Linked DNA regions of Sus scrofa. The protein of the gene in region 1 purifies or fractionates together with the protein of each later gene. This does not show direct contact. Links are inferred from orthologs where the notes say so. Each region holds a gene or a part of one and is shown in the gene's direction. Other genes may lie near its edges.

Region 1 (10,575 bases):
GTATAATCAGTTGTTTCTTTTCAAAAGTAATATTGTGACAGTGGGAAAAAAAAAATTTTTTTTCAATTAGAGATAGGCTTTGGAAAAAGAAGAAAATGAATTATATCATTTTCTTTCCTGAACAAAACATGTTAAAATCATTACAATGAAAATATAAATGAATTTCACAGGGAAGTTATTCTGTAATCTTGCTGCTATATATGGACTTTGGAAGCGATTTTGTTTTCCCACAAAATTTTTTTTTGATAAATTCCTTTTTGTTTATTTCCTGAAATATAGATAATTATGGCACCTGAGAATTTTAAAGTTATGTTCTGAACTTTGTTATAATCATAAAAGAATATCTCTGGTTGCATTCTTTTAGTGTTTTCCTTTATCCCTGTTCCCTTTATAGTCCCTTATAGATGTGAATCAACTTAGGAATTTCTACCTTGATTGTCTGGGATTTTGTTTTTTTTAGGGCCGCACCCCCAGCAAATTGAAGTTCCCAGGCTAGGGGTCAAATTGGAGCTGTAGCTGCTGGCCTACACCACAGCCACAGCGATGCTAGATCTGAGCTGTGTCTGTGACCTACACCACAGCTCATGGCAACCCCAGATCCTTAATCCACTGAGCAGAGCCGGGGATTGAACTCACGTCCTCATGGATACTAATTGGATTCGTTACCAGTTGAGCCACAATAGGAACTCCACCCTGGGGTTTTGGCTTTAAATTATATTTCATGTATACTAGGCAGCAGGTTTGGTTAGTCATTCTTTTTGTGAGGCCAGTAAACTTTATTTTGATTTATTTTAGAGTTATCCATGTCAAATGGAAATACGCTTCCATCTAGAAAATTTAAAGGTAATATTAAGTGTGTCTTCTCCCCCTCTACCGCTTTTTCTTAAGGCTCCTGTTCCAAAGAGTGCACTTATTCCAGTAATTCCCATCACCAAATCAACAGGCTCCCGATTCCGGAATAGTGTGGAAGGATTGAATCAGGAGATTGAAATAATAATTAAAGAGACAGGGGAAAAGGAAGAACAACTTATAGTAAGTGGGCTTGTATTTTAAAATCATCCTTATACATTAACTCTTCTAATTATTAAAAAATTCACAATTTTGTCTTCTATGTTTACATGGGTTTCTTCCTTATAGCTGAGAATGGAAAGTTTTATCTCTTGAGAAACTTTGACTTTTGCAAGTGAATGGAAGGTTTTTAATTCTTTGCATCTCATAGAGACAACTGATGTGACTTAAATTTGGATCCTTGAAGAGAATCCACATTTATTGTTTTCCTGCATTTAAAAATCACTAGGGTTCTCATTGGCTGTAACTCCATGTAACTAAAGTTTAGCTTACGGGTTTGTTGGGGAGGGAGGGATATGACACAGAATACTTTCCAAGTATGAATCTACCTCTTGCTTGTTTTTTATCAGTTCCCGTTTGGTTAACTCTCATCATGAAGTGCAGTTCTGCTTACTTATGATACATAATAGAATGTGTATTCTTTTCGTGGTGACACACATAAGAATGGGTCACACATAAGACAAAATTTGTATTTAAAACCATGTCACAGAGTATTTTTAAGATTCATTCTTCAGTGAAGAGGAATTGAAGAGTTTTAAGGTGGTATTTTTTTGATACTTAAGATCCTCTCCCTTAAGAATAAGGTTGGTTTAGCTTAGAGAAAAGGCAACAGCCCACACCCTCTCCTCGTCCCCTCCTCACTGCATGATGGTGAAACCTTCCCTGATGCGATAACAGTAAATGTACCAAAGACGTACAGGGAGCTGGTTTCCCTGCTCAGGGAGCCAAACAGGCTTCCCTCTGAATGTTCTCCTTGATTTCCCCCAGTAATTAGCGGGGCTGTGATGAACCTTTCCCTCCCTGAGGGAGGTCTCCTTGAAAACACTGTTTCAGGAGGAAGAGGGGGCGGCAGGGAGCAGGACCTGTGTCATCAGGTATCAGTAATTTACGCAATGGATAATCTTTTCTTCTAGATTTTTCTCCTTTGTTATAATGGCCTGTCTTTATAATCTTAAAAATAATGCTTAGCACATGCTGTTATGAATTCAGTGCAGTTCATCCTTCATCAAGCACTGACCACTCATGTGCCAGACCCTGGGAATATACACTGCTGCTCAGTGTCCTGCGAGGGGCGGTTTAAACGGAGATGTCACTAACAGAGCAGCGCAAAGGCTTCTCTCTCCTTAGGCCTGAGTATGATTCTGATTTTTGAGTTTTGGGGAACAGCAGGGAAAGATTAACATTGGGTTTGCATTTCCAGGTGAATCTCAAAATCAGTGATAAAAATACATGTTTTTAAAATTTTCTAACAGCCGCAAGACATTCCGGATGGCCATCGTGCGCCTCCACCCCTCGTGCAGAGAAGCAGCAGCACACGCAGCATCGACACACAGACCCCCGGCGGGGCAGAGCGGGGAAGCAACAACAGCAGCCGCTCTCAGTCTGTGTCCCCCACGTCCTTTCTCACCATCTCCAACGAGGGGAGCGAAGAGAGCCCTTGTTCAGCCGATGACCTTCTCGTTGATCCCAGGGATAAAGGTACAGTGCAGGAGGAATTGGCTACCCCAGTATTGAGTGAATAGCACCGGTTTTATTGTGCATTCAGTTCATTTTCTAGCAGAGCACACACGTAGGGGTTACTAAGATAATTACCTTGAGATGTGTTCAAAACATAGATTTTAAACAATTGGAATACAAAACAGTAGGTTTTACTGTGGTGCCCAGGTGATGGTCTCGTTGGGTGGATTTGTGAACTTTTGTAATTTTTTCTTTTTTTGCACTTACTAGTACAAGTTCTTTATAGTGAGAAACATTCTTTTTGATATAAATGAGATAAACATTTGATCTGAATAGCATTTATTCTCTGTCACCTTGGTCGTCATTGTTTTTACAAACTTACTGCTTTTTAATTGAATGTGAAACCTTCCCTTCAAGGAAGTGCTTTTTAGGTTTTTTGGGGGGTTTTTTTGCCTTTTTTTTTAGGGCCGCACCTGCAGCATGTGGAGGTCCCCAGGCTAGGGGTCAAAACAGAGCTACAGCTGCCTGATTATGCCACAGCCACACAGTATCTGAGCCTCGTCTGCAACCTACACACACAACACAGCTCATGGCAATGCCGGATCCTTAACCCACTGAGAGAGGTCAGGGATCAAACCCATATCCTCATGGATCCTAGTCAGGTTTGTTAACTGCTGAGCCATGAAGGGAACCCCCTTAGGATCTATATTTGTAGTTGTTCTTTTTTTTTAGGTTTTTTTTTTTTGTTTTAGGGCTGCACCCGCAGCATATGACAGTTCCCAGGCTAAGGGTCAAATCAGAGCTGCAGCTGCCAGCCTACACCACAGCCACAGCAATGCCAGATCCATGCTGCATCTGTGACCTACACCACAGCTCATGGCAACACCAGATCGATAACTGACTGAGCAGGACCAGGGATCAGAACCACATCCTCCTGGATATTAGTCCATGAGCCACAATGGAAACTCCTAGGATCTATATTTGTGATATTTCTGACAAAAATTAAGGTGATTTAGATCAATACAAGACGAATGTTTAAGGCAAGCCTGGAGTAAAAATGGGAGGGGGCTACTAATAGTATTAAACCACTTACGTGACTTAGAAAATAATCAGATACATAGCACTTTGAATATTAATTACTAATAATGTTCTTAGTTTTTCAAACCAAATATGACCTTTCTTCTTTCTGTATCAGGGCAATAAATATTTTGTTAGCCTAATTCGAGTTATTGCTATATGAACTTGAGAGTAACAAGATATTTATTATTACATAAATTCTACAGCCCAATTCAGTAGCCGTTTGTTTAGAACCTCCCACTTGCAATATCTGAATGTCCTAAAACGTTCCATGTCCAATGACTGGTCATTACTGCCAGTCACCTACAGCTTTAAGACAATAGCAAGTGCTGTAGGATTTTAAGATTTTCTGAAGAAGTCACTTCAGACAGTGGGCGGTTGTAAAATGTTATTACTTGGACCCTTTATTGTCAGCTTCTGTGTTACTTAAAACAGCTATTCCAGGCCAACATCCCAGGCTAATTAAACTACACCCCTTAGGCAAGACACAGGCAGCAGTTTTTGGTGTTCCCAGGTAATTCATGTGGACCCAAGTTTGACCCCTACTGGATTAAGTCCTTTGATTGGGCCACGTGTTTCTTTTCAGGAGTTGCCATAATTAACTACTTCTTACACTTATTATCAGGATTAAAATGGATAGTGAATGCAGACTGTTTAGTGCAGCTTCTGGTACTTAGCGCTCAATCAGCTATACCCCTCCCACACAAATGAAACCTTGGCTCTTAAAACCTGCCCCTTGATTTCCCATACTTTGTTCTTTTACTTCAGTAATGTGTAGGCACTCCATATGTTTTGTGTCCTGTTGTATTTGACTTTAGGAGACTAGTGACTGCTTAGCTTCTGTGATTTCTTTTATAAGAAAGGGCTGCTGTGCTGCTGCCAGTAAGGAGTTTGTAGGTGAGTTGACACAGTCACACTGTGCATTTAGGGCACTTAGGTAACATCGCAAGAATTTTAAGTTAATATAGTGGAAACTGAGCACATCAGCACTGAATTAGAGTGCAAGAGTAAAGAAGTGTTCCCTTTAATAGGATTAATTTAGAAAGATTTCAAAAGCTTTGAGCCAGACTTTGAAGGAGGTTTTGGAAAGTGAGCAGAGAAGGACCTCTTAGGTATAGGGAAGTTTGCAGGCAAAAGAGGGTCTTTGGCATACAGTGTGCACATGGCTCTGACTACCTGGAACAGAGATTGTAATCGGAGGAGCAGAGAAATCAAACCGAAGGATTCTGAGGGGCAGGCCAAACACAAATAGTATGTAGCCGGTGAAGAACCATTTCAGTTACTCATTCTGGGAAGATTGGAAGTGGTATTTGAGCCCATTTGCTGTGTGCAAAATAGAAATAACCCCTAAAAAGACAAAAAAAAAAAAAATAGAAATAAGGCAGCAACATAAATCAGTGTTCTCTACCAAGGAGTTAGTGATACGGGCCTAGGCTGTGGCAGTTGTAAGTAGAAAAGAAATTTTAAAATCTCTTGTTTATTCATTTATTTGTCGAACAGTAAGTAGCTCCCGTTTACCTGGAATTGTGTTACATTTTGGGGTGATATGGGTGAATAAAAACACCGTTCCTACCCTCAAATAGTTCATGGTGTGGGGGGAGGCCAAGGACGAGTAAATACAGTATGACTGTGCTTTCACGTACATAGTAGTAATACAGCATCTCATTTATTGCAGAGAATGGGAACAACTCTCCTTTGCCCAAATATGCAACCTCACCAAAACCTAACAACAGCTATATGTTCAAAAGGGAACCTCCTGAGGGCTGTGAAAGGGTCAAAGTCTTTGAGGAATGCTCGTAAGTATCCCCCATCAAACCTCCCCCCAGACCTTTGTAATGGGAATTTTAGAGTAGGCTGAAGAAGAGTACAGTGACCACTCATGGATCTACCACTAGATCCTGTAGTTAACATTTTGCTGTTTGCTTTGTCTCTTGTATGTTGGTGTTAGTTTTTGCTGAGCTGTTTGACAGTAAGTTGCAGACCTTGTGATATTTAACTTTAAATAGAGCTTAATGTTTGTTTCCTAAAAGTAACCACAGTAATAAAAGTAACCACTCCTACATAACCACAGTACCATTGTCACACCAAAGAAAATTACAGTTATGGTCAATGTCAACTAATATCCAGTTGCTCACGTGTCTTCACTTGTCCCAGTGTTTCATCTGTGGTTATTTGTGAACCTGTAAATAGTCAGCATCATATATTGAACTTAGCAGTATATTTATTCAAGCTAGACTATGTATCTCACCCAGGATGGGTTTCCTTCTTTCAAGGATCAGATTCCCTTCAGTTTTTAATGTTCTTGTAGTTTCAGTTCTTTAAACAAATTTTAAAAAATTTTTTCTGCCAATGTGGGGAAGAGACTTCTATGACTTTGCAGAAACATGTTACTGTGCATGAAGAACATGTAACAAGCAGAGTTTAAAATAGTGTCTGTACCCTTGGTAGCAGTCTTCTGTGCTCATATATTTCTCTTGGCTGGTGTTCTAGTCAAGTACCCTTAATTTTAGACTCAAAATCTGCTCAGAAAGTATTGCAGCCTTGTGTTTGCAGTAGTCATGGCTCCTTGCTTTGTAAGTGATGGCCAAGGGTGGTGTGTATGAAACTGAGCTAATTTAGGTGATGATGGTACTTAGACCTTACCTTCCCGTCTCACTATTGCTGCAAGTCTAATAGCTGCCCTCTGCTTCTCCTGTGATACTTCACATACAATGTGGAGATGGTCCAGCCTTGTCTGAGTTACATAATTTTATCTTTTTCTTTCATCATGAACATGTTGGAATAAGGACTGCATCCTTCTGTTCCTCTATATGCCCCTCCTGTCAGTGCTTTCTTCACCTAAATTCTGAATAATTTTGCCACACAAAGAGCCTTGTTTTTGAATCCCTTCACCCTTTCTACTAGGAGAACCCAGCTGTCATTCTTCTATCTGCTTTTGTGACAGTAATTGAACACTGTTTTAGCAACCACTTTCCCCTCCGCCCCCCACCTTGGAAGACTAAAAGCTTTACTGGTGCCAGAGAGTTGAAGCAGTGTTTCTCCAGATCTGCTGCATGTACTCCCTGCATCATCACCTCTGGGGTATTAGTTGAAACTGTAGATTCCCAGGCTCCATCCTAGGCCTAATGAGTAAAAAATATGGAAGTAGGTAGGACCTGGATTATGCATCTTTAACAAACCTCATAGGATTTTTATGCTTATTTTGAAAATATGGCTTAGGCTTTTTCTTGAGAGTTCTTAAGAAATAAAGTCATTCTGTTAAGTAAAAATCAAATGGTTTACATGGATCCTTTTGGAGTTGAGCTCTTTGATTGATTCATTGGTAGTTCAGATGTGCCTGCGTGAAGAGACATGGCTGATCGACTTAAAAAGCAATTTGAGTGGTTCCCTTCATGGCTCAGTTGTTAACAAGCCCAACTAGGATCCGTGAGGATGTGGGTTCAATCCCTGGCCTCGCTCAGTGGGTTACGGAGCTGGTGTTGCCATGAGCTGTGGTGTAGGTCACAGATGTGGCTCGGATCTGGCGTGGCTGTGGCTGTGGCGTAGGCCAGCAGCTGCAGCCCCCATTTGACCCCTAGCCTGGAAACATCCATATGCCATGAGTGCCGCCCTAAAAAGACAAAAGACAAAAAAAAAAAAAAAACAGTAACTCTGACCTGTGACCTGAACCAGGGGATGGAGTTGGGTGAGGGGTTAATTTCTTGTTTCTAGAAATGTATGTTTATTTACCTAAAAGAAGATATGTAGTTGGATTTAGGCCCAGAAAGGGTAAGACTAGATTTTGCTTTTTTTTTGGGGGGGGGTGTACAGCACAGACCATAGCCATGCTGTTGGCACTTAGCAAGTCCTTTTTTTGTGGGTTTTTTTTTTGTTTGTTTTTTAGGGCTGCACTTGCGGCATATAGAAGTTCCTAGACTAGGATTCAAAGCCAAGTTGTAGTTGCCAACCTACACCACAGCCACAGCAGTGCCAGATCCAAACCATTTCTGCACAACTCATGGCAACACAAGATCCTTAACCCACTGAGTGAGGCCAAGGATGGGACCCACATCTTTATGGATACTAGTTGGGTTCTTAACCTGCTTAGCCACAAAAGGAATTCCAGCAAGTCCATTTTAACAAAGTGAAAAATACTGTTTCCTGATCCCAGTTAATGAACTCTTTGACCTTAGTTAAGGTACCTTAGATTTCCTAGATATTACAGCCTCTTTGTGATACAAAGATTTTTTTAAAAATATGTAACATAACTTCCCCTTCCCTTTTTTCCTTTCTTTCCCTCCTTTCCATTGTAACCACCATTTCTTAGTTGATAATTTATGTGTAAGTTTAGAGAGACTATTACATAAGCCTTTAAAAAAAAATGCCAAAGCATTCCTTATATCAGTAGGAAAATATGTGTAATAATTATCCATCCTGACCATCTCTATCTCAGAAAGTCACTAGCAAATGGTTATATCTATTCTGAGATATAATCCTTTTGGAATAACTTCTCAAGGAACAATAAAATGTTTAAGTTGGTTCTGAGGAGCTTAGTGTGTGCGACTGTGTTTTTTGTGTGTGTATGGTTCTTAAAGAAAGCTTTGAAGTAATATTAGTACTTGCAGCTTTTAGTAACATAAGTATGATACTGGTCATAGATCCCAGAGATGAGTAATGAATTTCTTAGAGAATCTGTTCCTAGAAGTTAAGTGGAATAAACAGTGATTCCTTTTGGAGGGTTGGTGTAGTGGCTGAAAGAGGAGGAGGGGGATGTGATGCTTTTTCACTGTTAGTGTTCTGTTTCTTGAACAGGGGTGCCAGTTAGACAGGTTATTATGATCACATGATAAAAAGTATGGTTCTCATCTCTTTCCATGAAATGGAAAAAAGAAAATCCGTGTGCCAAGTCTGCACTAGATTTTTGTGTGAGATCTGTCATAAGTCTGTTTTCATGAAAGTAGAAAGGAAATTACACTGATTTTAGATTCTGTCATTAAAAAATGTCGAAGTCAAAAATTTGTATTTCAGAAGTGGTGAGTTTTTCATCCTCAAAAATCTGTTAGCAATCATATCTTAAGTGATTTTTAACAAGATAACCTTAAATTAATTAACCTAGGCCTCATTTGGAGGAGCATATAAAAATTGATTAGCCCCTTTTCACCTAATATAAGAATGAAAGTTATCTTTAATAATTCTTCAAAAAAAAATTCAAGCATTATTTAATTATAGAAACGTAACCTCAACTTTCAGTCTTCTTTAAGGAATTGAAAACCATCCTCTCAGTAAAAGCAGAGGAGTGTGTGCTCTTCTTATCCTGATTTATCCATATACACATGTGCCTTAAAATTACTCAATGTGGGAGTTCCTGTTATGGCCCAGCAGTAATGAACCTGAGTAGTATACCCATAAGGATGTGAGTTCCATCCCTGGCCTTGCTCAGTGGGTTAAGGATCTGTTGAGATTTTTTTTTTTTTTTTTTTTTTTTTGTCTTTTGTCTTTTTTGTTGTTGTTGTTGTTGCTATTTCTTGGGCCGCTCCTGCGGCATATGGAGGTTCCCAAGCTAGGGGTTGAATCGGAGCTGTAGCCACCGGCCTACGCCAGAGCCACAGCAACGCGGGATCCGAGCCACGTCTGCAACCTACACCACAGTTCACGGCAACGCCGGATCGTTAACCCACTGAGCAAGGGCAGGGACCGAACCCGCAACCTCATGGTTCCTAGTCGGATTCGTTAACCACTGCGCCACGACGGGAACTAGGATCTGTTGAGCTGTAGTGTAGGTCACAGATGTAGCTTGAATCTGGTGTTGCTCTGGCGGTGGCTGTGGCCAGCAACTGCAGCTCTCATTGGACCCCTAGCCTGGGAACCTCCATATGTTGAGAGTATGGCCCAAAAAAGACAAAAAAAAAAAAAAAAAAAATTACTCAACATATTAAGTTTCCATTGTATCCAAGAAAGAATAGAACACAGCAAAACATGTCAGAGCTGCTTATGGGAGTTCTTAACCTTGCATGTGTATGTGTGTGTGTGTGCGCGCGCGCGCGTGTGTGCGCGCGCGCTGTGGACACCTCTGGCAGTCTGGTAAAGCTTGTGGATGCTTTGAAGTAATCCATAAGTTCTCTGAATAATGTTTGTCAAAGTACATTAAAGATTATAAAGCAGACCTATTATACTGAAATACAGTTCTGCCCCCAGTACCTCCCTCCACACAAAAACTACATATTTACTCTGTCCCTTGTAGATTGTTTCATTTTTGGGTCTCTAGAATGTAGTGCAGACTTAGCACACTCGGATTTTCTTTTTCCATTTCACTAGGAAAGATGAGAACCATACTTTTATCACAATGATCATACTATGTTTTCCCACCTAAATCTTTTTTTTTTTTTTTTAATGTTTTCTAGGGCCACACCATGGCATATGGAGGTTCCCAGGCTAGGGGTCTAATTGGAGCTGTAGCTGCCAGCCTACACCACAGCCACAGCAACTCGGGATCTGAGCCATGTCTGCAACCTACACCACAGCTCACGGCAGTGCTGGATCCTTAACCCACTGAGCGAGGCTAGGGATCGAACCCACAACCTCATGGTTCCTAGTCAAGTTAACCTCTGAGCCACGACGGGAACTCTGACCCACCTGAATCTTGATTTATTTTGGTTCTTCCGCTTTAATTTCTTTTTAATTTTGTGTCACTTCCATCCCATGTTCCTTTAACAGTTTTTTTATATTTTTATTTTCAGAGAATACCATTACCTCTAGTGTCCTATTCCTACTATTTGGGTTAACTTGCGGGAGCAGCTAGGGACAGGCAAAGATTTGGCTTCCATAAGTACTTTCAGAACAAAAGACTGCTATTAGTTTTATTTTGATTTTGTGTTTATGTTGTTATTCAGAAAACCATCATGGTTAACTCACAGGATTGTTTCAATTATTATTATCATTATTTTTATTTTATTTTTTTGTCTTTTTAGGGCCGCACTGAGGCATAGGAAGGTT
Region 2 (10,575 bases), on another chromosome or scaffold:
TGTAGTGGCGCCGCAGAAGCTTTTGTGAGAAAGCAGCTCCATGCTGCTGGCTGTCTGTTTTGAGTGTTAAAGTGAGAGAGTTTAGTTAGGAGGAATTTTATTTCTTTCTCTTCCTTTTAAAATCAAACTGTCTTTGCTTTTGTGATATTTCTAGGTAGAAATTTTAAGTGGCTAAGAAGAGATAAATTAGGCTCTTAAGGAGTCTCAGATCACTTCATTGAAACTAATCGGTTTCAAGGTTTTCTTCTTCGAAGAAGCCTTAGGAGTGGGATGGGGTGGGGACAAGGTAGAGAAGCGATTAGTCAGAAATGACACTCAGCTGAATCTTTAGATGGCAGTGTTTCTAGGATTTATCTGTGAAACTAGTACAGTACAGATGTCTGAATCTTCAGTTACACTGTGCTGAGTTTATGACTCCTAATGCTTTAAATTAATGTCAAGAGTGTATTTCATTCCTTAGGTTAGTTTAAATACAATTTAACTGTTAAATTAATGGTAAGCCAAGTACCAGCCATAGCAGGAAAGAATAATTAATAAGGAAATAAATTGTTCTCAAGAATATTTTCCTCTGATAATATTTTCTTTATAATTGTTTAAGATATATCTTGATTACCAGTTAGGATTGAATTAAATAAAAGGACTTGAATTTTATATATTGTGCATTTCACTCAGATTTACCACTCCCTTGAAATGTGTTTAGTTCTTTAAACAATATTCATAGACTAATGTTGAAATCAGTAAATGGAACTCAACCCAGTTGTTTTATTCTGTTAATATTAGATTTGTGTTAATACAGTGCTGACTACAATTAAAACTTATTTTGGAATTAATACTGTTTTGAAATATATTTTAGATATACCAGTATATCCAGAGTCGCTTTTATCGGTCTCCAGAGGTGCTACTGGGAATGCCTTATGACCTTGCTATCGACATGTGGTCCCTTGGGTGTATTTTAGTTGAAATGCACACTGGAGAACCTCTGTTCAGTGGAGCCAATGAGGTATGTGATGGATCGCTTTAAAAATTGTTTCTCTTTTCATGGTTTCTTTTTGTTTTTAATCTCTGACAGTGTAATATGAGAGTTGTTTAGAGGAAAAGATGTCTATTTTACCAACTTAGTCATTCAGGTGTTAGGTCAGTTTTGAACATATTTTATCCATTTTTAATTTTTTCAGTTATCATGTAATGGTGAGTTTAGAATTATGAGATGGAATGTGAGATCTTTCATTCTGCTAATGGAGAACGATAAATTAGATTGGCACATGTTAAGTACTTTGATATAAATTTTACAGATTTTAAGTAAAATTTTCAAGAAAAAAATAATCTTGAAGAAATGAGGGCCTCCCTGAAAACAATGCAAACATCCGTGTAAAACTTTGACAGTATGATTTGAAATAATGCATGACCAGTAGGGTTGATGGATGTTTGATCTGAATAATTTCGGGTAAGTTAGGACTGTAGAATTTTAGAGCTACAGACTAAGTATAATTCTTCTAGTCTGCAGGTTTTCCGTCTGCGTTCTTGGATGGTTTCGAAGGGCAGAGGCAGTGCCTGGCAAGGGGAGGAGGGCAAGAGGGAGAAAGCCCAAGCTCCCTTACAGTCAGAGGAATTGGGCGTTCATTGGTTTTAAAACTATTTGCTTGTGGGGTTCTGTTGTTTTTTGTTTCTTTCTTTCTTTTTTGGCCACCCCAGGGAACATGGAGTTCCTGGGCCAGGAGCCAGATCCTAGTCACAGTTGTGACCAACACTACAGCGGCAGCAATGCTGGGTCCTTTAACCCACTGTACTGGGCCGAGAATCGAACCTGCATCCTGGCACTGCAGAGACACTGCCGATCCTGTTATGCCACATTGGGAACTTCTGTTTTTTGTTTCTTTAAGAGAAGTTAACCATTGCAGATCAGTCCATTCATTTATACATGAGAAAAGAAAGATGGGATTCCCCCTGTGGCTCAGGGGGTTGAGAACCCAACATAGTGTCCCTGAGGGTGCAGGTTGGATCCCTGGCCTGGCTCAGTGGGTTAAGGGTCCAGCTTTGCCATGAGCTGTAGCATAGGTCACGGGCGTGGCTCAGATCCCATGTGGCTCTGGCGTAGGCTGGCAGCTGCAGCTCTGATTTGACCCCTAGTCCAGGAACTTCCGTATACCACAGGTGAGGCCCTTAAAAGAGAGGGAAAAAAAAGACTAACAAAATGTAATAAATTGTACTGGGTTATACAGCTCTTTAATAGCTAGTGTCAGAAACCTGTCCCTTCCTCTTGCCTTTAATTCAATTCACTGTAGCTAGTGAGCTGCTCTTTTCGAGTAACTACCATAGTGTAAAAAATTTGTTGTTGTTTTTGGTCATTTTAGGGCCGCACCCTCAGCATATAGAACTTCCCAGGTTAGGGCTTGAATCGGAACTGTAGTTGTAAGCCTACACCACAGCCACAGCTATGCAGGATCCAAGCCGCATCTGCAACCTACACCACAGCTCACAGCAGTGCCAGATCCTTAACCCACTGATCGAGGCCAGGGATCCAATCCGCGTCCTCGTGGATACTAGTCGGATTCGTTACCACTGAGCATAGCAGGAGCTCCCTGTTTTTCTTTTAGTCATAAAGAATATTACCCTCTTGTCACCTTTTCATGGGCATCTGAAGCTTCAGTGACTTCCACCCCACTCATGGTGGAAGTCACAGTCCTTTGAGTAGCTCGGAAAGCGCCCCGCCCCGCCTGTTCTCTCTCCCACCTGCCCTGCCGCCTCCCCAGCTCTCTCTGGCCCAGCCACATTGCCTTGGCGCTCTCCCGGGCCTGCCCTCACTGCCTTTAGGTTTTGCTTTGCTGTCACCTTCTCGGTGAAGCCTTTCCTGGCACCCTTTTTTTTTTTTTTTGCTGTTTCTAGGGCTGCTCCCGCAGCATATAGAGGTTCCCAGGCTAGGGGGCGAATTGGAGCTGTAGCCACCGGCCTACGCCAGAGCCACAGCAACGTGGGATCCGAGCTGCATCTGCAACCTACACCACAGCTCAAGGCAACGCAGGGTCCTTAACCCACTGAGCAAGGCCAGGGATCGAACCTGCAACCTTATGGTCCCTAGTCAGATTTGTTAACCACTGAGCCACAATGGGAACTCCTGGCACCCTATTTTAAGTTGCAGTTCCTTCTGACTCCTCATCCCCTTTTAATTTTCTTCATGGTTCTTAGACAGATCTAATAAATTTTACTATGTATTTATTTGTTCCTTGGCGATCTCTTCCTCTATGATAGAAACTTTGGGGCAGGGATTTTTGTCTCTTTTGTTTACTGCTGAGTTATAGTGGGCATGGTTTCTATCATATAATAGACACTTGATCTGTTGAATGAATCTGCACTTAAAAAAATACTTTTATTAGGTCCACACTTTAGTAAACCTTTTGTGTGGGGTTATTTAACTAAAACTCTCCCAAAACTTAAAAGTTTAAAAACTCCCTCCAGTCATTCCTTATTCTCCATTGGATCCATGACCACTTGCCATCCCACAGATGTATGTGTTTACTTAATTGTCTGCCCGCCCCTCTGTGGAATGTTGGGTTTCGGGAAGGCCGGGACTTTATCTCTTTTGTTCATTATTATATGCTTAATGCCCAGAGGAGTGCCTGACACAGGAGATGCTTAAGTTATTTATTATTTATTATTTGTGAATGAATGAATTGATGAGCAGAAGTAGGATGGACTACAGTAGAAATTACAGGTTTTTTTATTTTTATTTTAATACAGGTAGATCAGATGAATAAAATTGTGGAAGTTCTGGGTATTCCACCTGCTCATATTCTTGACCAAGCACCAAAAGCAAGAAAGTTCTTTGAGAAGTTGCCAGATGGCACTTGGAACTTAAAGAAGACCAAAGATGGAAAACGGGTAAAAATAAGGGAATATTTTTTTGAGCAGTCACATTTCTTTCATTGAGCTGTCTTTATAGCATATTTTGTTATTTACTTGAAATCAGTGTTACTGGTATCAGTTATTAACAGTAGTTCCATTGATAACTTAGGTACATATTTTCTTCACAAGTTGATTATAGTTTGACCTGAACTGTGTGTATGGACCAGCGTTTGCTTATAATACTCAGAATTTTCTTTGAAGCTTCATTTTGTCTGCCTTTCGTGGCAGCTGATCAAATCACCATGTCCTGTGTCAACAGTAGAATCAGTGACTTTTGTTTCTCATAGTTTGGGTATATAGTGAAGTCACAGGTATAACAGTTCTGCAGCTGTGAACATCAAAATTCATAATTGCAGTAAATGGCTTTTTTTTTTTTTTTTTTTTTTTAAGATGAGAGTAAAGGATTTTTGACTTAGGCAGTTTGTGACAAGAATATGAACCTACTAGGTGGTTCTTTGATTTCAGATTCCTAGCTTGGATAACAGGAATTTCACATCTCTAAAATCTTTGAAAGTGAGGTTTTTAAAACGATAATCTTTTAGGAATTTTTTTTTTAATCTGAGAACTTCTTTCAGATACATAAGCTTTGTCACTTTAATGGCGTGGATGATGACAGTTTTGCATCTTGACTTACACCTCTTTGTTTTATGTATCTGAGAATAATCATAGTTTGTAATTAGATTTTTCTGTTATAGATGAATATAGTCCATAAATATGTCATTTATATACCATCCACCTTGCGACTGTAGTTTTGCATTTTTAACACTTAAGAGATTTTATTTTGCCACCATTTTTATTTGCCCTTGCATTTTAGTGATATTGCCACCGGGTGTCATTTCCAGTGAACTGAAGGTGCTGCTTGTCTTCTGTAATTGACCTTCGTCTATGGAGTCTTTAACTTTTCATATCAAATAGTTTGTTTTTGAATATATTTTTTAAAATATATATGTAATTGTAGCTTCCATAACTGATTTGTGGCTTGCTGCATTTTGCTTTATTCTCTGAAGTTCCAGGCAGTGCAGTATCTGACAGCTAAATTATGCCTACTTTCCATGGAGAAGGAATGGAAAGTACCAAGCTGACATCCTGAGTCCTTTTGCATTTGTCCACATAGCTTATCAATCACGGCCCCTTTTCTCATTGAACCAAAACACAGCCTGGGAGTCCTTGGCTTCATCAACATTCAAGGTAGCCTCCTACCAGTTGATTTCAATTAGCATTGAGGATGCGAAGCCCCCTTTACGTTTCTCTCTCTCTCTCTCTGTGATACCGGCTACTACTTCTTTCTCCAATTTGAGGTTTTGTTGCTCTCTCTCTCTCTCTTTTTTTTCTTTTTAGAGCCACATGTGCGGCATATGGAAGTTCCCGGGCTGGGGTCGAATCAGAACTACAGCTGCCGGCTTACACCATAGCCACAGCAATGTGGGATCCTTAACCTACCCGAGGCCAGGGATTGAAACTGCATCCTCAATGGTTACTAGTTGGGTTCATTACCACTCAGCCACAACGGAAACTCCTGAAGTTTTGTTACTTTTTTGTCCTTCTATATTTTTAATTTTTCTAAATGAAACATCTCATTCCATTTCCCTAATCTCTATCTTATAAAACCAGTTAAGTCACTACAATACTATAAGCTGTCATTTCTCCAATACTGATAATAATTATCATTTATTTTATAATAAATATTTTATTTTATTTGTAATCATTTTGTTCATTTTATTTTTGTTTGCTTTTTAAGGCTGCACCTGTGCCATATGGAGGTCCAGGCTAGGAGTTGAATTGGAGCTACGATGGCCGCTCTTCACTACAGCCACAGCAATGTGGGATCCGAGCCACGTCTGCAGCCTCTACACCATAGCTCATGGCAACACCGGATACTTAACCCACTGAGCAAGGCCAGGGACCGAACGTGAATGCTCGTGGATAATGGTTGGGTTTGTTACCGCTGAGCCACAATGGCAGCTCCAATATTTGTTATTTTAAATTGTTTTGGGGGGGACATTTCAGAAAAGAGTAGATAAATTTTTTCCCTTAAAATTGAAAGTACCTTAACCTACATTTAATATGTATTAATTGTAGATTTTATGAGAGTTTCCTTAGCTGCAGTCAGCAACTGACTGAAGAAACTTAATTTTTAAAAGTATGAAATAATTAGGAGGTCACTTGTGGCACAATGGATTAAGGATCCTGTGTTGTCACTGTGGTGGCTTGAGTTGCTTCTGTGGCCTGGGTTTGATCCCTGGCCCAGGAACTTTCACATTCAGTGGGCGCACGTGGGGGAAAAAAAGTATAAAATAATGATTTCTCTTTAAACTGAAATTTTCAACAGCAATAAAAAATCAAATCTGTAACCAAATGATTAATTGCATTATGAAGGATGCACTAGTTATTTTAACCATAGCTATAAATAAATGTGCATGTGCTGTCCTTGGGTATAATTGTGCAGTTTATTTCCTTAGTGATTTTACTTTTAATTCATCATTTCATGTTTCAAGGACCCTTTTGGCTTTCTAGTAATGATATCCATACCTATTGTATACATACTTTTCTGGTTACCTCTGTCACCATACAAAGATATTTTATTATTATTGACTATATTCCCGATGCTCTGCATTTCATCCCTGTGATTCCTTTATTCCATATCTGGAAGTTTGTACCTCTTAATCTCCCTCACCTCTTTTGCTCATTTTTTAAAAATTAAAGTACAGTTGACTTACAATGTTGTGCCAGTTTCTACTGTACAGCAAAGTGACTCAGTCATACATATATACAAGTGATATATGGTATATATATATATGTATGTCATATATGTATATATGTACATATACATATATATGTATCCTTTTTTTAGTAGATTATTTTCCATCATGATCTGTCCCAGGAGATTGGATATAGTTCCCTGTGCTATACATACAGTAAGATCTTATTGTCTATCCATTCTAAATGCAATAGTTTGCATCTATTAGCCCCAGACTCTCAGCCCATCCCCCTCCCTCGGCCCTCCCCCTTGGCAACCACAAGTCTGTTCTCTATGTCTGTGAGTCTTTTTCTGTTTTTTAGTAGGTTTATTTGTTTCATATTTTAGATTCCACATTTAAGTGATATATGGTACTTGTCTTTCTGACTTCACTTAGTATGAGAATCTCTAGTTGTATCCATTTTGCTACAAATGGTATTATTTTTGTTCTTTTTTATGGCTGGGTAATATTCCCTTGTACTGTTCCCTTTATTAAATATTTCTCTCTCTTCCCCTGGCTGATTTTTATGTAGATTTTTGGTTTTGTTTTTTGTTTTGTTTGAATTTTTCAGCAGTTTGACTATTAGGTCCTTATGTATGATTATGTTTGTATTTAGTTTCCATGGAGTTTGCTGAGTTTGTTAGATCTGTGAGTTGATCAGTTTTTGAAAATCCTCAGACATTATCTTTTCAAATATTTGTTCTGCTTCACTTGCTCTTCTACTAGTTATCATTAAATGTATGTTATAGTGCTTAATATTATCTCAGAGTATGTTCGGTTTACTCATTTTGTTTTCTTTTTTGTGTGATAGTTTGGATAATTTATTTGCTCTGTCTTCTAGTTCACTGATTGCTTTTCTTCTGCTGAGCCTAGTCTCCTGTTAAAATCATTAAATGGAGTCTTCATTTCTGACACTTCATTGTTTGTCTTTTTTAAAACATAATTTTAATCCCCCCCCCAGTCTATCCACATACCTTTTGAACTAACATTCTTTTTTTAATCATAGTTATTTTTAAATGCCTCTTTCAACTTTTGGGTCATTTATATGAGTCCCCCCCCCGCTTGATTATGAACCCATTTTGTTTCTTGTGTCATTAAATTTTTTTTTTTTTTTTTTTTTGCCTTTTTAGGGCCACACATGCAGCATGTGGAGGTTCCCAGGCTAGGGGATGAATCGGAGCTACAGCTGCCAGCCTCCACCACAGCCACAGCAACATCAGATCTGAGCTGTGTCTGCGTTCAAAACCACAGCTCATGGCAACACCAGATCCTTAACCCACTGAGCGAGGCCAGGGATCAAGCCCGTGTCATGGTTCCTAGTCGGATTCGTTTCTGCTGCACCAAGACGGGAACTCCTGTAATGTTTTTAATGTATGCTGGACTTGTCGTATTTAAGAACAGTTGAGGTGGAAGTAAATCTTCTCTCCCTTTAGAAAGAGGCATGCCCCTTACTCCGTCAGGCCACTAGTGTGATGAGCCTGAGTCAGTTTTGTGGGTAGTTTAGCTGAATCTGGGCTTTGTTTGGTTTGTTTGCTTGATTTAGATTTTATTCTCCACTATCTTCATAGGTTTTAAGCAGTGTTTGTGAAGACTCGAGAGATCTTTTATACGTCATTGCCCAGCCAGCAGCCCACTCCTAACTTGGTGCCTCAGGGTGGTCCGTGTCCACCCCGCTGCTCTGGCCTCAGCTTTGCAGAGCGCTGGGGGATCCTTCTTGGATCGTTGCCTGTCCCATCCTTCGGCCTGGCCACCACATAGAGCTGTTAGAAGTTGGTTTGGAGTTGGGCTGGACTCCTTAATCAGATCTATGGTATTTGCTGCTTCTCCCACCATAAGTCTCTTCTCTCCTAGAAAAGGCTTTTCATTTTTTGCTATTACGTTAATTCCAGTTTCTTTATTCCTCAGCTCTCCAATGGCTTTTTTTTAAAAGCAGTGCTTTTTGTGGTTTGTCTTCCTGGCTTGTTCTTGATTTTAGAGTAAGAGCAGTGGCCTCACGAAGATTTCGACACCGTACCTAGAAGCAAAAAATCCACTGATACTGTTCTGAAAAAATTCAGTATTTATAGGGATTTTAAAGGCTATACTGTCATCTGTTTAAAAATGAGTTTCCAGTGGTTCCCTGGTGGTCTAGTGGGTTAAGGACTTAGTGTTGTCACTGCTGTGGCTCAGGTCCCTGCTGTGGCTTGGGTTCAGTCCTTCATCTGGGAATTTCTGTATACCACAAGCACAGCACCGCTCCCCCCCACAAAAAAAACCCCACCAAAACCAAACGTGAGTTTCCAGAAAAATCTCAGCTCATGTTAAGGCAATTTATTATTAAACATATTTTCTAAAGGGAGGCATAAATAATTTGTGTTTGGTTTCTTTATCTGAATATGAGCAGGTAAGTGATTCGCTATTAGGCGTGATTCTCCACAGCTTTAATGAGCCACTGTTACTGAGCAGGCTCACCTAAGTGCACAGGTGCATTGGGCAGAAAAGAGGTTCACGACCACTGCGATGAGCAAAGGCTGGCACACATCCTCTCTAAAGGACCATGTCATAAAGCTTTAGACTCTGTGGGTTTCTGATGTGAATTCTTATGTTTGTCTTGATAGTTCTTAAAAACATAAAAGGCATTCATAGCTGGGCTGTTTAAAAACGGGCTCTGGGCCAAGCTGTAGTTTGCGGATCCCTGGGCTCCAGGATGTTTATCGTCATCTTTGCTCTTAACATTATTTTGAATTTTTCCTAACTATGGCGTGTTTGGTATAGTGATGTGTGAAATACAGGGGATCTAATGGTGAAGCATTCTTCTTAATAAAAGCCTCAACATACCATATGAGTAAGCATGTCTGACGTTACGTAGGCTTTTACATATTCCATGAAATTTAGACAAAGCCCTTTTATTTTCCTTCCCTCTAGGAGTATAAACCACCAGCAACCCGTAAGCTTCATAACATCCTCGGAGTAGAAACAGGAGGGCCTGGTGGGCGTCGTGCTGGGGAATCGGGTCACACGGTGGCTGACTACTTGAAGTTCAAAGACCTCATCTTAAGGATGCTTGACTATGACCCCAAAACTCGAATTCAACCTTACTATGCCCTGCAGCACAGTTTTTTCAAGAAGACAGCTGACGAAGGTACAAACACAAGCAACAGTGTTTCCACGAGTCCCGCCATGGAGCAGTCCCAGTCCTCGGGTACCACGTCCAGCACGTCGTCCAGCTCAGGTCTGCTCTTCCGATGTTACATCTGACTTTGAAATGTTTCTTTTCTTGACAGTGAGGGGGTTATTTTCAAGTGCTTTTAAAGTCCGTTAATGGGTGAGGAGGAATTATTTTTCCTAAATGTATTCTTGGTGGCTAGTAAAAATAAGTTCACCTCCCCCAAAGCTCCAGTACTTAATTATGCGTGTAATACATTCTGCTTGGAGACAAACTCTTTATTAAGCAATTAACAGTTTTTCATTGTTTTTAACATGGAAATACTTGGTCCACGTGCTTGCGTTTTCCCTTGACTTAGTGAAACTTGGTCATGTTTTAGTCCAGCAGTTGGCTGTGAAAGAACGTAGAGAAATGAACGCCTTTTGGGTGTGCTTTCAGGTTGATAGAGATTTTTTTTGGTGATACACTTAGTTTTAATGTTACACTTTTATGATATATACTTGAAAAAAATTTACTTAAAACTCACAAGTTGTATTGTGTCCTGATGCTCAAGGTGGATCGTCGGGGACGAGCAACAGTGGGCGAGCCAGGTCGGACCCAACGCACCAGCATCGGCACAGCGGTGGGCACTTCACGGCCGCCGTCCAGGCCATGGACTGTGAGACACACAGTCCCCAGGTGAGCTGTCGTACCACCCTCTGCCGTGCCGGGGGTAGCAGTGTCGGATGCCAGGTATCTCTGGGACAGTTACGTCATTTAAAGGTTCATAGCTCCCTCATTGGGAAGGTATTC
Region 3 (11,231 bases), on another chromosome or scaffold:
CAGGGCCCCCAGCCAACAGTGTAACCGGGGATCTGGTCTCCCTGCTCCACCGTGCATCCCACCCGTGACAGCCAGGGGATCCTCTTAATCCATCAGTCCCCCGGAGCACAGGGTCCCCTCCCCGGCCGCTTTCCATGACATCCCCCTGGCTATGGTCCCAAGTCCTCAGTGTGGCCTGGAAGGCCCCACACATTCCAGCTCCCCTTCCCCACCATCCCCTCCCACTGTCCCCTCTAAGCAAGTGTCTTCCCGCCGCCCCCGCAGCCTTCCCTGTGCCAGGGGACACTCCTCCTGGCTCTGTGTGTGGCTGGCTCCAGGGCATCATCAGCATCTGGTCAGGTGTCACCTTGTCTTTCTCAGGAGCCCACCTCGCACCGTCTGTCAAGAGCAGCCCTCACGGCCCTTCCCCCGCCCTGTAGGCCCTGCCACTTCTGTGCGGCCAGGCACACTCCTGCCTCAGGGCCTTCCTGCTGGCTCTCCTGCTGCCAGGAAAGCAGGAAAGCACGTCCCCAGCCTCACCGTTGGGTCTGCTTCACTCGGCTCTTCTGGCGCTTGCTCTCATTTTTACCTGCCCGCACCCTGCTCCCCGTGGTCACATGTTCCTGCCTGGTGGGGTCTTTACCATGGAGTCCCCGCAGCCGCTGGCTGCTGTGCCGTAGGTGTGGTCCATCCAGCGTCTCCTCAGCTCCTTGAGGGTGGAGGCCTTTGGTTCCCTGTGTTTCCCCAGTGCCTGAGCATTGGGCCGCACGCAGCACATGCCACCCAGTCGGGGTCTGTAGAGCGAATGCACAGGTCTTGCCTCGTGGTTAAACCTGGGATGACCTTGTTTATGTCTGTTGCCACCCCTTCTCCCTGAGTCAGGAATCTCCCCGAAAGGGCAGGCCCTGCGCCTGTGTGGCTCCATTTGTTTTTTGTACGATGACTGGGCCTCCAGTCCCTTTGGGGGCACCTAGAGTTAAGAGCAGTGGGGTCTTGCAGAAGAGCCCGGCGCTGACTTCCACCCCATCTCTCCCTGCCCAGGAGGGAGATGACAAAATCGAGTACCGTGCCTGGAACCCCTTCCGTTCTAAGCTGGCGGCAGCGATCCTGGGCGGTGTAGACCAGATCCACATCAAGCCGGGGGCCAAGGTGCTCTACCTGGGGGCTGCCTCAGGCACCACCGTCTCCCACGTCTCTGACATCGTGGGCCCGGTGAGTAGGAAGAGCGGGGAGGGAGGGGACGGCCACCTCCTCTGCCAGCCTGACTTAGAGTGCCCGTGAGCAAAAGGAGCAGCTGGAGCCGCATGAGGCCTCATTCAGCCTCACTGCTGAGTTCTTGACCTGGAGGGAAGGGACTTGGGTGTCGGGGCGACCACTGTGAGAGGGGCCCAGAGCCGAGAGTATAGATAGCAGGCTGTCTGAGGTGGCTGCCCACCTTAAAAACTGATACCCCCGAGTTCCCATGTGGCTTGGCAGGTTCAAGAGCTCAACTAGTATCCAAGAGAAAGCAGTTCAATCCCTGGCCTCACTCAGTGGGTTAAGGATCCGGTGTGGCCACAAGCTCCCAGTGTAGGTGGCAGACGTGGCTTGGATCCCACACTGCTGTGGCTGTGGCGTAGGCCGGCGGCTGTAGCTCTGATTAGACCCCTAGCCTGGGACCCTCCATATGCTGCAGTGCAGCCCTAAAAAACAAAAAGGAAACAAACAAAAACTGATACCCCTCAAATCTGGTCTGATTTCTCTTGGAGGAACAGGAGGTGTCAGTTTCTGGGCCTGTGTTTCTTTTTTTTTTTTTTCTTAAGGCTGCACCCATGGCATATGGAGGTTCCCAGGCTAGGGTTCGAATTGGAGCTGCAGCTGCCGGCCTTCGCCACAGCCACAGCCACGCCAAACCCAAGCCGTCTCAGTGACCTACACCATAGCTCATGGCAACGCTGGGTCCTTTAACCCCTGAGCAAGGCCAGGGGTTCGAACCCACGTCCTCATGGATACTAGTCAGATTCTTAACCCGATGAGCCACAGCAGGAACTGCCAGGACCTGTGTTTCTGGGCTGTGGACGGCTCCCTGTTGAGAGGGCGCCTATGCATCTCGCTTCAGGACCTCTCACTCAGCTCTACCGCTGTAGGCTGTGGTTAAAAACCCCCGGCTCCACTGCGGGCTTTTGACGGTGAAGTGGCTTTCAGCTAGTTACTTACCCTCTTGCGCCTCAGTTTGCCCCTCTGGAAAATAGAGTCATTGTGAAAATAAGTGAGTTAATTCCTATTATGTGCCTAAAGCAGTGCCTGGCCCATTAAATATTCTTAGCTATTACGACGTCCTGGTTTTAAGCCTACATTGGAGGCCTGGGCCCTCAGATCTGACCAAGTCGGATTGAATAACCCTTAGCCCATGATTTCACATCTTCTAGACCTCAGTGTGTTCATCTGTAAAGTGATAATAAATCATTAAATGATAGGGATTTGAAGAGATGTGTACAATATGTGACCCCCAAATAGGCACTCCAGCCGTGAGAACTTAGTATCGTTATTTTTGTTTGCTTTTGCTTTGTTTTAGGACGGTCTGGTCTATGCAGTTGAGTTCTCCCACCGTTCCGGCCGTGACCTCATTAACCTGGCCAAGAAGAGGACCAACATCATTCCCGTCATCGAAGATGCTCGGCACCCGCACAAATACCGCATGCTCATCGGTGAGGGGCCCAGGGCTTGGCCCTGGTGGGGGTAGGACAGGTCGCTCCAGGTTTCCTGGATGCGGCCTCCAGAGCCCTGATTTGGATGGAATTGGAGTGGATGCACAGGCCTCTCGAGTCTACAGGAATGGAAAGGGTGGAGAGAGCCCGGTGAGGCTGTGGAGGTGGCCGTCCCACTTCATGTGTCTGGTACCCTCGGAGGGCCCTCCCCCCCAGGAACCCTCCCCCGTCCTTCCTGCCTCCCTCCAAAACACGGTACCTTTCACACTGCCCCCGGCTTGTGTGTAACCTCCTCCTTCAGAGGTCCTCACCCTCCTCTGGGGAGATCATACCCCAGAAAGCACAACTGAGCGTGGCCTGGCCCAGAGGAGCCCGCTGTGAATGTCAATGACCTTGGTTTTTAAAAAAAAAAAAAAAAAAAAAAAAAAAATGCAAAAATTCAGAAGCATAGTGTAAAAATGGAGTGCCTTATAAACCACCCCCAGAGGTAACCGATATGAACATTTGATGTCTGCTTTTCCTGGTTTTTGAAAGTCAGTTTTCATTGCACCATCTTTTCCATTTTTTTTTTTTTTTTTTTTTTTTTTTGACCCACACTGCCTTAAAAATACTGCTTGCATCATCCCCCTGGTTTTTCTTTCTGTGAGTTTTTCCCCGGTGCCTTCATGCCATACCCCTTAGCCTGTGGCTTGTTTTTGTGTGACAGTCCTGCAGACTCTCTTGCCTGTACGTGCTCACCTTTACTTGCCTTTTTGATGACGTGTCTGTCTCCCCCCCAGACCCGGGAGCGTCTCGAGGGCAGGGTCCGGGTCTGACTCGTCTCTCTGTCCCCCACGCCCAGCCCGGGGCTGGCCACAGAGTAGGTGGCAACATGGTTTATAAGAGGAATGAGTGAACGGTGTGATTGAGGGTTTTTTTGGCCCATCTTGGGGGCACTGTGGAGGGAGGGGGATCAATGGGGGGAAGTGAGACTGGAAGCAGGGAGGACTCTGCCCGGAACCTGCTGGTGATGGGGCACAGGCCCCGGGGAGGAGCTGGGACGATCCTGTGGATCCAGCTTGTAAGTGTTACTTCTTTCTCCTAGCGATGGTGGATGTGATCTTTGCTGACGTGGCCCAGCCAGACCAGACTCGGATTGTAGCCCTGAATGCTCACACCTTCCTACGCAATGGAGGACACTTTGTGATCTCCATTAAGGTGCGGGGCATAGAGGAGTCTAAGATGGGGTGGCAGTATCTTCTCTCTATACCTGCCATGTAGCCAGTTAAAACTCGGGCGGGGGCGGGGGGGGGCTTCCCTCCGTCCTAATCCAGTCAGTGTGTTCCCTACCCAGCTCCCTATAAACCACCCAATCAAATAGCAAGTAATGAAAAATGTCTGCAAAACTAAAAACCTTAGGATTTAAAGAGGCAGTAGACCGTCGTGGTTCAGTGCGTGATCCCCACGTATGAGTTTGAATCCCAGTGTGTGTCTTTGAGCAGGTGACCTATATATTATGCCTGTTGCTTCACTTGTGAAATAGCAATGTTAGTCCTAACTCTTTTAGGGTTGATGTAAGGACTAAATTTCTCAATATATGTATGGAGTGTTTAGCCAAGAACCTGGTATAAATACCAGATAAATGCTAGGTACATTTTTAAAAACGTTTTATTTTGAAATACAGAGACCTCTCCAGTGTACTTTCAACCAGATTGAGCCTTTCCTAACCACTTGCTGCATTTGTTTTAGTAATCTCAGCTGCATTATTGCGATTGTTAAAGAGGAAATGGGGGCGGGGAGGGGGGGAAACCAGAGTGGAAATTTTAAACACTTGCCTTTAGATAAATAGAGCTCTGCTGAAGCCTTCCTGTTTCAAACCCAAACTACTTAAAAACTTACCTAACAAAGTCTTTCCCTACATTTCCAAAGCCTATTTTCCAACTTAAAAATTCTACTGGTTTGAAAGAGCACAACAAAGGGAAAACAGCCCCAAACCCTTGCTGCAGACTTCAGACCCTTTTTCTTCTTCAGGCCAACTGCATTGACTCCACAGCCTCTGCTGAGGCCGTGTTTGCCTCTGAAGTGAAAAAGATGCAGCAGGAGAACATGAAGCCCCAGGAGCAGCTGACCCTAGAGCCGTACGAAAGAGACCACGCTGTGGTCGTGGGTGTGTACAGGTAAGCAGGGGGCCCAGTAATCCACCAGAGCCGGGAGTCTCAATACTAGTTAGGAGTACCCCAAAGTGCTTGTAAGTTCTGAGTCCCCGCATCTGTTTCCTCTCACAGACCACCCCCCAAGGTGAAGAACTGAAGCCCAGTGCCATCTGGATCGCGAGAGACTGTGTTGCTACTGTTACACGCGTGTTTTTCTATTAAAAGACTTATGCGTCCTTCTTGTTTGCCGCTGATTGCTTGGCGACCGCTCTTAACGGGGCGCATGCGCCCTTGGTCTACTTGCGTGGTGGGGGCGGGCACTCTCCCGGTGGCACCGCGCGTGCTCGTTTCTTAGCGGGCTCTTACGCAGCCGTAACTTGGATTTCGGCGCTTGGGCGGGGTTCATAGCTTGCTGTGCTGGGAGACCAGTAAGCGCCTCCGAGCGCAGGCGCAGAGTGTTGCCCTGGGTCACGTGAGGAGAAACAGCTTGGGGGGGTGGGGGCGGAGTCCAGGGCGGGGGGGCCGGTTTGTTGTGGTCGCCATTTTGCTGGTTGCATTACTGGGTAATCGGGGCCCTGGCTCGCCGCGTCCGCCGGATACTTTCAGCCAGTGGGCAGGTCTGAGCTCGGGCTTCCCGAGCAGTTTGAGTTCCCTTGCTCGCGGCCTCAGGTAACAACGCGGCTATGGACGGAGCGGCACGCGCTCGCGGGGAGGAGGGTAGTACGGGACCCGCCCTGCCTGCGTCGCCGCGAGACTTAGCACGAGGCCGAGGGAGGAGAGGAGGGGGACGGCAGGCAGGTGCAGGCCTTGCCTGGCTATTCATAGTTGGATTCCTGGAAGGGGCCGAGCCCGAGCGGAGAGAGCTGTCTCGGGAGGGAAGCTGGGAGGGGGTAGCGGGGCCCCGCTCCCGCCCTTTGTTTGGGCTCGGCTCCGCCGGCCGCATCGTCGTCGCCTAGCAACAGCTGTCCTGGACTGTGATTGGTTGAGCTCTTGGCAGTAGTGACCAATGGCACGGTTGTTGCCATGGTAGGTGTGGACTGCCAGGTTCGGTCCAGCCCCGCCCGCCGGGTTCCCCCTGGCCGGGGCGGGCCCCCAGGGTGGAGGGCGGGACGCCGGGGTCCCCGGGGGCAGGTGGCTGCGCTGGGCGGGGCCGGCGGGGCGAGGGTTAACCCGCCCCTCCCCCGTCCACCTGCTTTCCCCTTCCCCCGCTTGCCCCGGGCTGACCCTCGTCTCCTCCTCTCCCCGCCCCCAGCGGCGGCGGCTGCTGTTGTCACCCACCCGGCCGCCTGTCCCGCTTGCCCTCCCCGCCGCGGGGCTTGCCGGGCCGGCCGGGCCGGGACAGGCGGCCGTCTTCTCACCACCGCTACCGCCGCCATGCTGGCCGCTCGCCCACACCACTGGGGGCCCCACCGCGCCCCAGCCCCCCGTGGGCCCCGCGCCAGCCCTGACCCGGGTAGGGGGCGGAGGCTGGGAGAGGGTCCTGGTGTGGGAGGGCCCCTCTGGTGGGGAAGAGGTTTTGTGGGGGAGCTCCAAGAGAGAGGGATCGTGGAGTGCAAGGCTTGACATAGGAGAAAAGGAATGACATGGGAGAAGGCCCGTGACGAGAGGATTTTGGTGTGGCAGATATTGTGGAAGGGGAGAACTCTGTAATATTTGGGAAATTTGGCCGCGGGGGCCTTCTAGGAATGGGCACCGTTGTGGATTGACCCTGGTGTAGAGAAGTGACTGGAGAAAGAGCCCTGACAGAAATACTGGTTGGGGAGGTTGAGGGTAGGATCCATGTAGGAGAGAGAAGGACGATCGGTGGGAAGAGACGCCTCCCCCTTGTTTCCATCCGAAGGAGTGGGGCCTTGATTGGGAGGGGGACCTTGGAATAATCTGGGAAGGGGGAGCCAGGCTGTGACATGGGGGAACCAAAATATGGTTTGACAAATTACATGAGGGGCAGTCCCCGATGGGAGAAAAGATAGGGAAGAAGTCTTGACAGATCTGGGGAGGGGCTCCTGGGAAGGGTGTGCCGGGTGAGAACGCCATAGGGGTAGGACTCTTAGGAAGAGGTCCTCAGATAACCTTGGTGTGGGCAGGAGGTCCCTGAGGACCCTGATCCCCAGGGCCTGCAGAGGATTCTGCTGTGGTTTGGAGGGGGCCCAGAAGACTCAAGTGGTTTGGGAGGATTCCGACTCCAGAGTTCTTTGGATTGGGGGACCTACTGGGAAGGGTAGATTTCGAGATGGAAGGACCTTGCTGGGACGAGATCCTGACATTCAGGGAAGGACTCCAGGAGGGCAGGATCATGTGTGAGGGGCCCTGGGGAGGGCGGTGAGCAGAAATGGGAAGGAGAGTGAACCCTACCGCTCTGCTGTCTGTGGTTTCTCTCTTCTCTTCCCCCCCCCCCCCAATTATTGGTGTCTTTCTGTCCTTTCCTGTCATGGCCCATATCCCTGCCTGGCTCCCAATCATTCCCTTTTCCACGTTCCTCTCTGCCGCCTTCTTCATTTACTTTGTAACCACTTGAGGGGACCCGCTCTGCCTCCCACCTCCACTTCTCTCTTCCCCTTTTTTTATTGCCACCTGTTGCTCTGTTGTATCCTTTTCTTCTTCCCTTTGTGCCCTGCCTTCTTCTTCATGTCCCCCTCTCTCCTTCCTGGCACTGTCCCACACATCCCCTTGTTCCATGTTGTTCCCCTGCCTCCCGCCCGCTCTCAGGTCTCAGCGGCGGTGGCAGCCGAGGTGCAGGATGCGAGAAGGCGCCCCCCGGCCGGGCTCCCGCTCCAGGCCTCGCTCCCCTGCGGCCCTCTGAGCCCACCATGGCCGTCCCACCGGGCCATGGTCCCTTCTCTGGCTTCCCGGGGCCCCAGGAGCACACGCAGGTACGCGTTCACCTGGCTCCTCACCTGCCTGGGGTCGGGGGAGGCTGGGATAGGAGTCTTGGAGCCAAAAAGATGGTACGCTGTCTAGGACAATCTCTGGGGTCCATGAAGGGTGCCAAGGGAGTGGAAGATATAGAGGAGTTGCTGGCAGTCGAGGTTTGGAGAGCCTGAGTTCAAATCCTGGCCCGGGGGGTCGTGTTACTTAGGTAGGTTCTCCCTGCTTCAGTTTCCACTTCTGTCAAATGCAGCCTATAATTACACTTGCCTCCCACGGTTATTGTGTGGCTTGAACACGTTAATGAAATGCAGTTGGAAATGCTCTGAACAGTATCTGGCACATAGTAAATACTCAATAAATGTTCACCAAAGGGAAAAAAAGTCCAGAGAGGAAGATCTAGAGGGGGTAAAAGAGGAGGAGGGTTGAGCCTAAAGGGTCTTGGAGTCAGCAGGGCCTGGGGATGCAGGTCGGGAGCTTCAGGGGTAGAGACTGTTAGGTTTTGAACCGTAGAATCTGAAGCGGGTTGGAGCGGGAGGTCCAGGGTGCTGGATCCAGATCCAAGACCCTTAGGATGAAAAACTGGGCAGAGCTGCACAGGGTGGAGGGTGAGGGTTGGGATGGCCCCAGGGAATGAGGGTAAAGCAAGATAGGGGCCCTCAAGGGGGAATGCCCAGAAGGGGTGGTTCCAGGTGAAGGACTGGGCGGGCAGAGCCCCAGGTTTCTCTCAGATCTCCCCCACGGAGGTTTAGGAAAGAGCGAAAGGGATGGGATGAAAGGTCCGGGGTAAACCGTTCACTCCGTCCCTCTCTGAGCAAATTTCTAATGAACATCTGTGTGCCAGGCCCTGTTCCAGACACGGGACATAAAGCAAGAAGGAGATCAAGTCTCTGTCCTTGGGGAGTTTCCATTCTAGCGGGGTGGTCAGACCATGACCACATGGTCCTGCCTGTGGTCACGAGGAACCAGCTGCCCAGATAGGGCTCCCGCTTGAGGTCGGAGGGGAAGGCCTGGCCTCAGTGCCCACCTGGCCCCCCGCCCTCCCCCCAGGTACTGCCTGATGTGCGGCTGCTGCCGCGGAGGTTGCCCCTGGCCTTCCGAGACGCGACCTCGGCCCCGCTGCGCAAGCTCTCCGTGGACCTCATCAAGACCTACAAGCACATCAATGAGGTGGGCGGGGTGGGGGCCCGGGCTGGGTGCGGAGGGGTCCTGGCCTGCCAGCACAGGCCGCTCACCAGTCCGCATCTCCTGGCCGGTCCCCGGCAGGTTTACTATGCGAAGAAGAAGCGGCGGGCCCAGCAGGCGCCACCTCAGGACTCGAGCACCAAGAAGGAGAAAAAGGTCCTGAACCACGGTTACGACGACGACAACCATGACTACATCGTGCGCAGTGGCGAGCGCTGGCTGGAGCGCTACGAAATCGACTCCCTCATTGGCAAAGGCTCCTTTGGCCAGGTGTGGGATGACCCCGACCCCAGCCGTGCTCCAGGGCTTGGGAGGAGCGGGCACCACTGGTGCTGACCCCCACAGCCAGCGGTTCAGTGGCTTCGCGTTTCGTGCTGGGCCACTCACCAGCACGGTCTGGTTTCCCTGTGCCACGGTTTCTGTAAGAGCGCCTCAGTAACAGGCCCTCCACGTAAGGTTGTTGTGTTTTCTCATGTCCAGCGTTGACACGAGTGTCTGACGATTGGCGAGCTTGCAATTTGGAAGTATTAGTATCGTTGATGGTGGTATGGGTGGGTCTCCTTGGCTGGAGGGCGACGAGTGGTACCTGGCTCTGTGCCTCGCGCCCCTTTGCCCTCGTCTTGTGACGCGCCCTGCCCTGGCAGGTGGTGAAGGCCTATGACCATCAGACGCAGGAGCTGGTGGCCATCAAGATCATCAAGAACAAAAAGGCCTTCCTGAACCAGGCCCAGATCGAGCTGCGGCTGCTGGAGCTGATGAACCAGCATGACACAGAGATGAAGTACTACATAGGTGAGGCCCGCCGCAGGGCTGTGTGGGGATGAGCCACCCTCAGTACCCGAGGGGGCTGCTGTCCTCAGGGCAAGGTGTGGTTTGTAATCCCCCACATCAGTGATTTCTCCTGCCACCCTCACAGTTTTTACCCTATTCACATGACAAAGCTGGTCAAAGTTTATTGGGTGCTCTCTAAGGGTCAGGCTCTGTTGTAAGAACTTTACGTAAGTTTTCCACAGCCCCATGGGAAGGAGCATCATTGCCCACAGCTTGGAGATGAAGAAACAGAGGCACTTAGGTGCTGTCACTTGCGTAAGATCGAGGTGTTTGTACTCAGTAGAGCTATGATTTGGCCAGACAGTGGATTCCAGAGCCTCCACTCTAAACGCCTCTGCTGGGTTTTTTCCTCTTTCCTGTACTGCTTCCTCTTAAGAAAAAGAAAGTGGATTTAAGGAGTGTGTTTCTTTTAAAAGGAAAATGCACCTCCTTACAGTAAATGGAAAGCAAGTATCCTTTGTCACAAAATAAACAGAACTGAGACTAAAACAATGTTATAAAATTAAACGGGGAAGTGTAGGGATGGTGTTAAAGACCCATCAGCACCGAATGGAAACTTTCTCTTTGGTTTAAATCAGAAAATGTGAGAGACTTGAAAAGCGAGCTAACTTAACTTCCTGTGTGAATCAGATTATAGACATAAAAACATCCTCAAGAAACAAAACAAAAAACCTCCCAGGGGGTTCCGTGGTGGTTCAGCGGGTGAAACATTCAGCGTTGTCGCTGCAGCCACCGGGTCGCTGCTGTGGCACAGGCACAGGTTCGATCCCTGGCCAGGGAACTTGCTCCTGCCATGGACACAACCAAAAAAAATAAGTAAATGAAATAAAATCCTGGCTAGCAGAACAGTTTGGCCTGTGCTCCAGAAGCAGAGACAAAGATCTCTTTATTATTGGGTACCCCAGGCCGCCACCGGCCCTCTCTCAGCCTTAATTTCTTCTCCTTCGGCCCATTTTCGCCTCCTTGCCAACAGTGCACCTGAAGCGGCACTTCATGTTCCGGAACCACCTGTGCCTGGTGTTCGAGCTGCTTTCCTACAACCTGTACGACCTCCTGCGCAACACGCACTTCCGCGGCGTCTCACTGAACCTGACGCGGAAGCTGGCGCAGCAGCTCTGCACGGCGCTGCTCTTCCTGGCCACGCCTGAGCTCAGCATCATTCACTGCGACCTCAAGCCCGAGAACATCCTGCTCTGCAACCCCAAGCGCAGCGCCATCAAGATAGTGGACTTTGGCAGCTCCTGCCAGCTCGGCCAGCGGGTGCGGCCCGGGGCGGGGCTAGAGGTGTGGGTGTGGCCAGAGAGTGGGCGGGGCCGACGGAGGACCAGGACGGGATTGGATGGTCGCGTGCAGCGGCCCGAGGGTAGTGCTTGGGACAGGGTGTCTGCAAGTACAGAGGGTGGGGTCATTGGGTGAAGAGGGTGATGGAGAGGGCCTTGGGGTGTCCTGCCCGAAGGACAGCGAAGAGTGGAGCCCGAGAGGACGAAGCCCGGGGCCAGTTTTGAGGCTGCCAGAATGGGGGAGGGGGAGGAGGAGTTGGGTGCCTTTGAGC

Evidence for each region.
Region 2: the proteins of FAM117B (region 1) and DYRK1A purify together in Homo sapiens (affinity purification with mass spectrometry; 8 studies listed by BioGRID and IntAct, counting the BioPlex papers as one, with this or other methods). This does not show direct contact. The link is inferred for Sus scrofa from reciprocal best matches to the Homo sapiens genes FAM117B and DYRK1A.
Region 3: the proteins of FAM117B (region 1) and DYRK1B purify together in Homo sapiens (affinity purification with mass spectrometry; 3 studies listed by BioGRID and IntAct, counting the BioPlex papers as one, with this or other methods). This does not show direct contact. The link is inferred for Sus scrofa from reciprocal best matches to the Homo sapiens genes FAM117B and DYRK1B.

What each region holds. Positions count from the first base shown.
Region 1 is NC_010457.5:106,269,017-106,279,591, forward strand, and holds part of FAM117B (protein FAM117B), read left to right. Parts: intron 1-888; coding exon 889-1,032; intron 1,033-2,321; coding exon 2,322-2,547; intron 2,548-5,278; coding exon 5,279-5,399; intron 5,400-10,575.
Region 2 is NC_010455.5:201,141,353-201,151,927, forward strand, and holds part of DYRK1A (dual specificity tyrosine-phosphorylation-regulated kinase 1A), read left to right. Parts: intron 1-853; coding exon 854-1,000; intron 1,001-3,735; coding exon 3,736-3,876; intron 3,877-9,542; coding exon 9,543-9,849; intron 9,850-10,336; coding exon 10,337-10,461; intron 10,462-10,575. UniProt on the Homo sapiens protein: Dual-specificity kinase which possesses both serine/threonine and tyrosine kinase activities. Exhibits a substrate preference for proline at position P+1 and arginine at position P-3.
Region 3 is NC_010448.4:48,308,586-48,319,816, reverse strand, and holds the start of DYRK1B (dual specificity tyrosine-phosphorylation-regulated kinase 1B), read left to right. Parts: upstream 1-5,293; 5' UTR 5,294-5,821; coding exon 5,822-6,251; intron 6,252-7,504; coding exon 7,505-7,668; intron 7,669-8,713; coding exon 8,714-8,833; intron 8,834-8,929; coding exon 8,930-9,118; intron 9,119-9,492; coding exon 9,493-9,640; intron 9,641-10,652; coding exon 10,653-10,939; intron 10,940-11,231. Other genes in the region: FBL (rRNA 2'-O-methyltransferase fibrillarin), read left to right, coding at 1,021-1,191, 2,534-2,666, 3,751-3,863, 4,677-4,822, 4,931-4,955.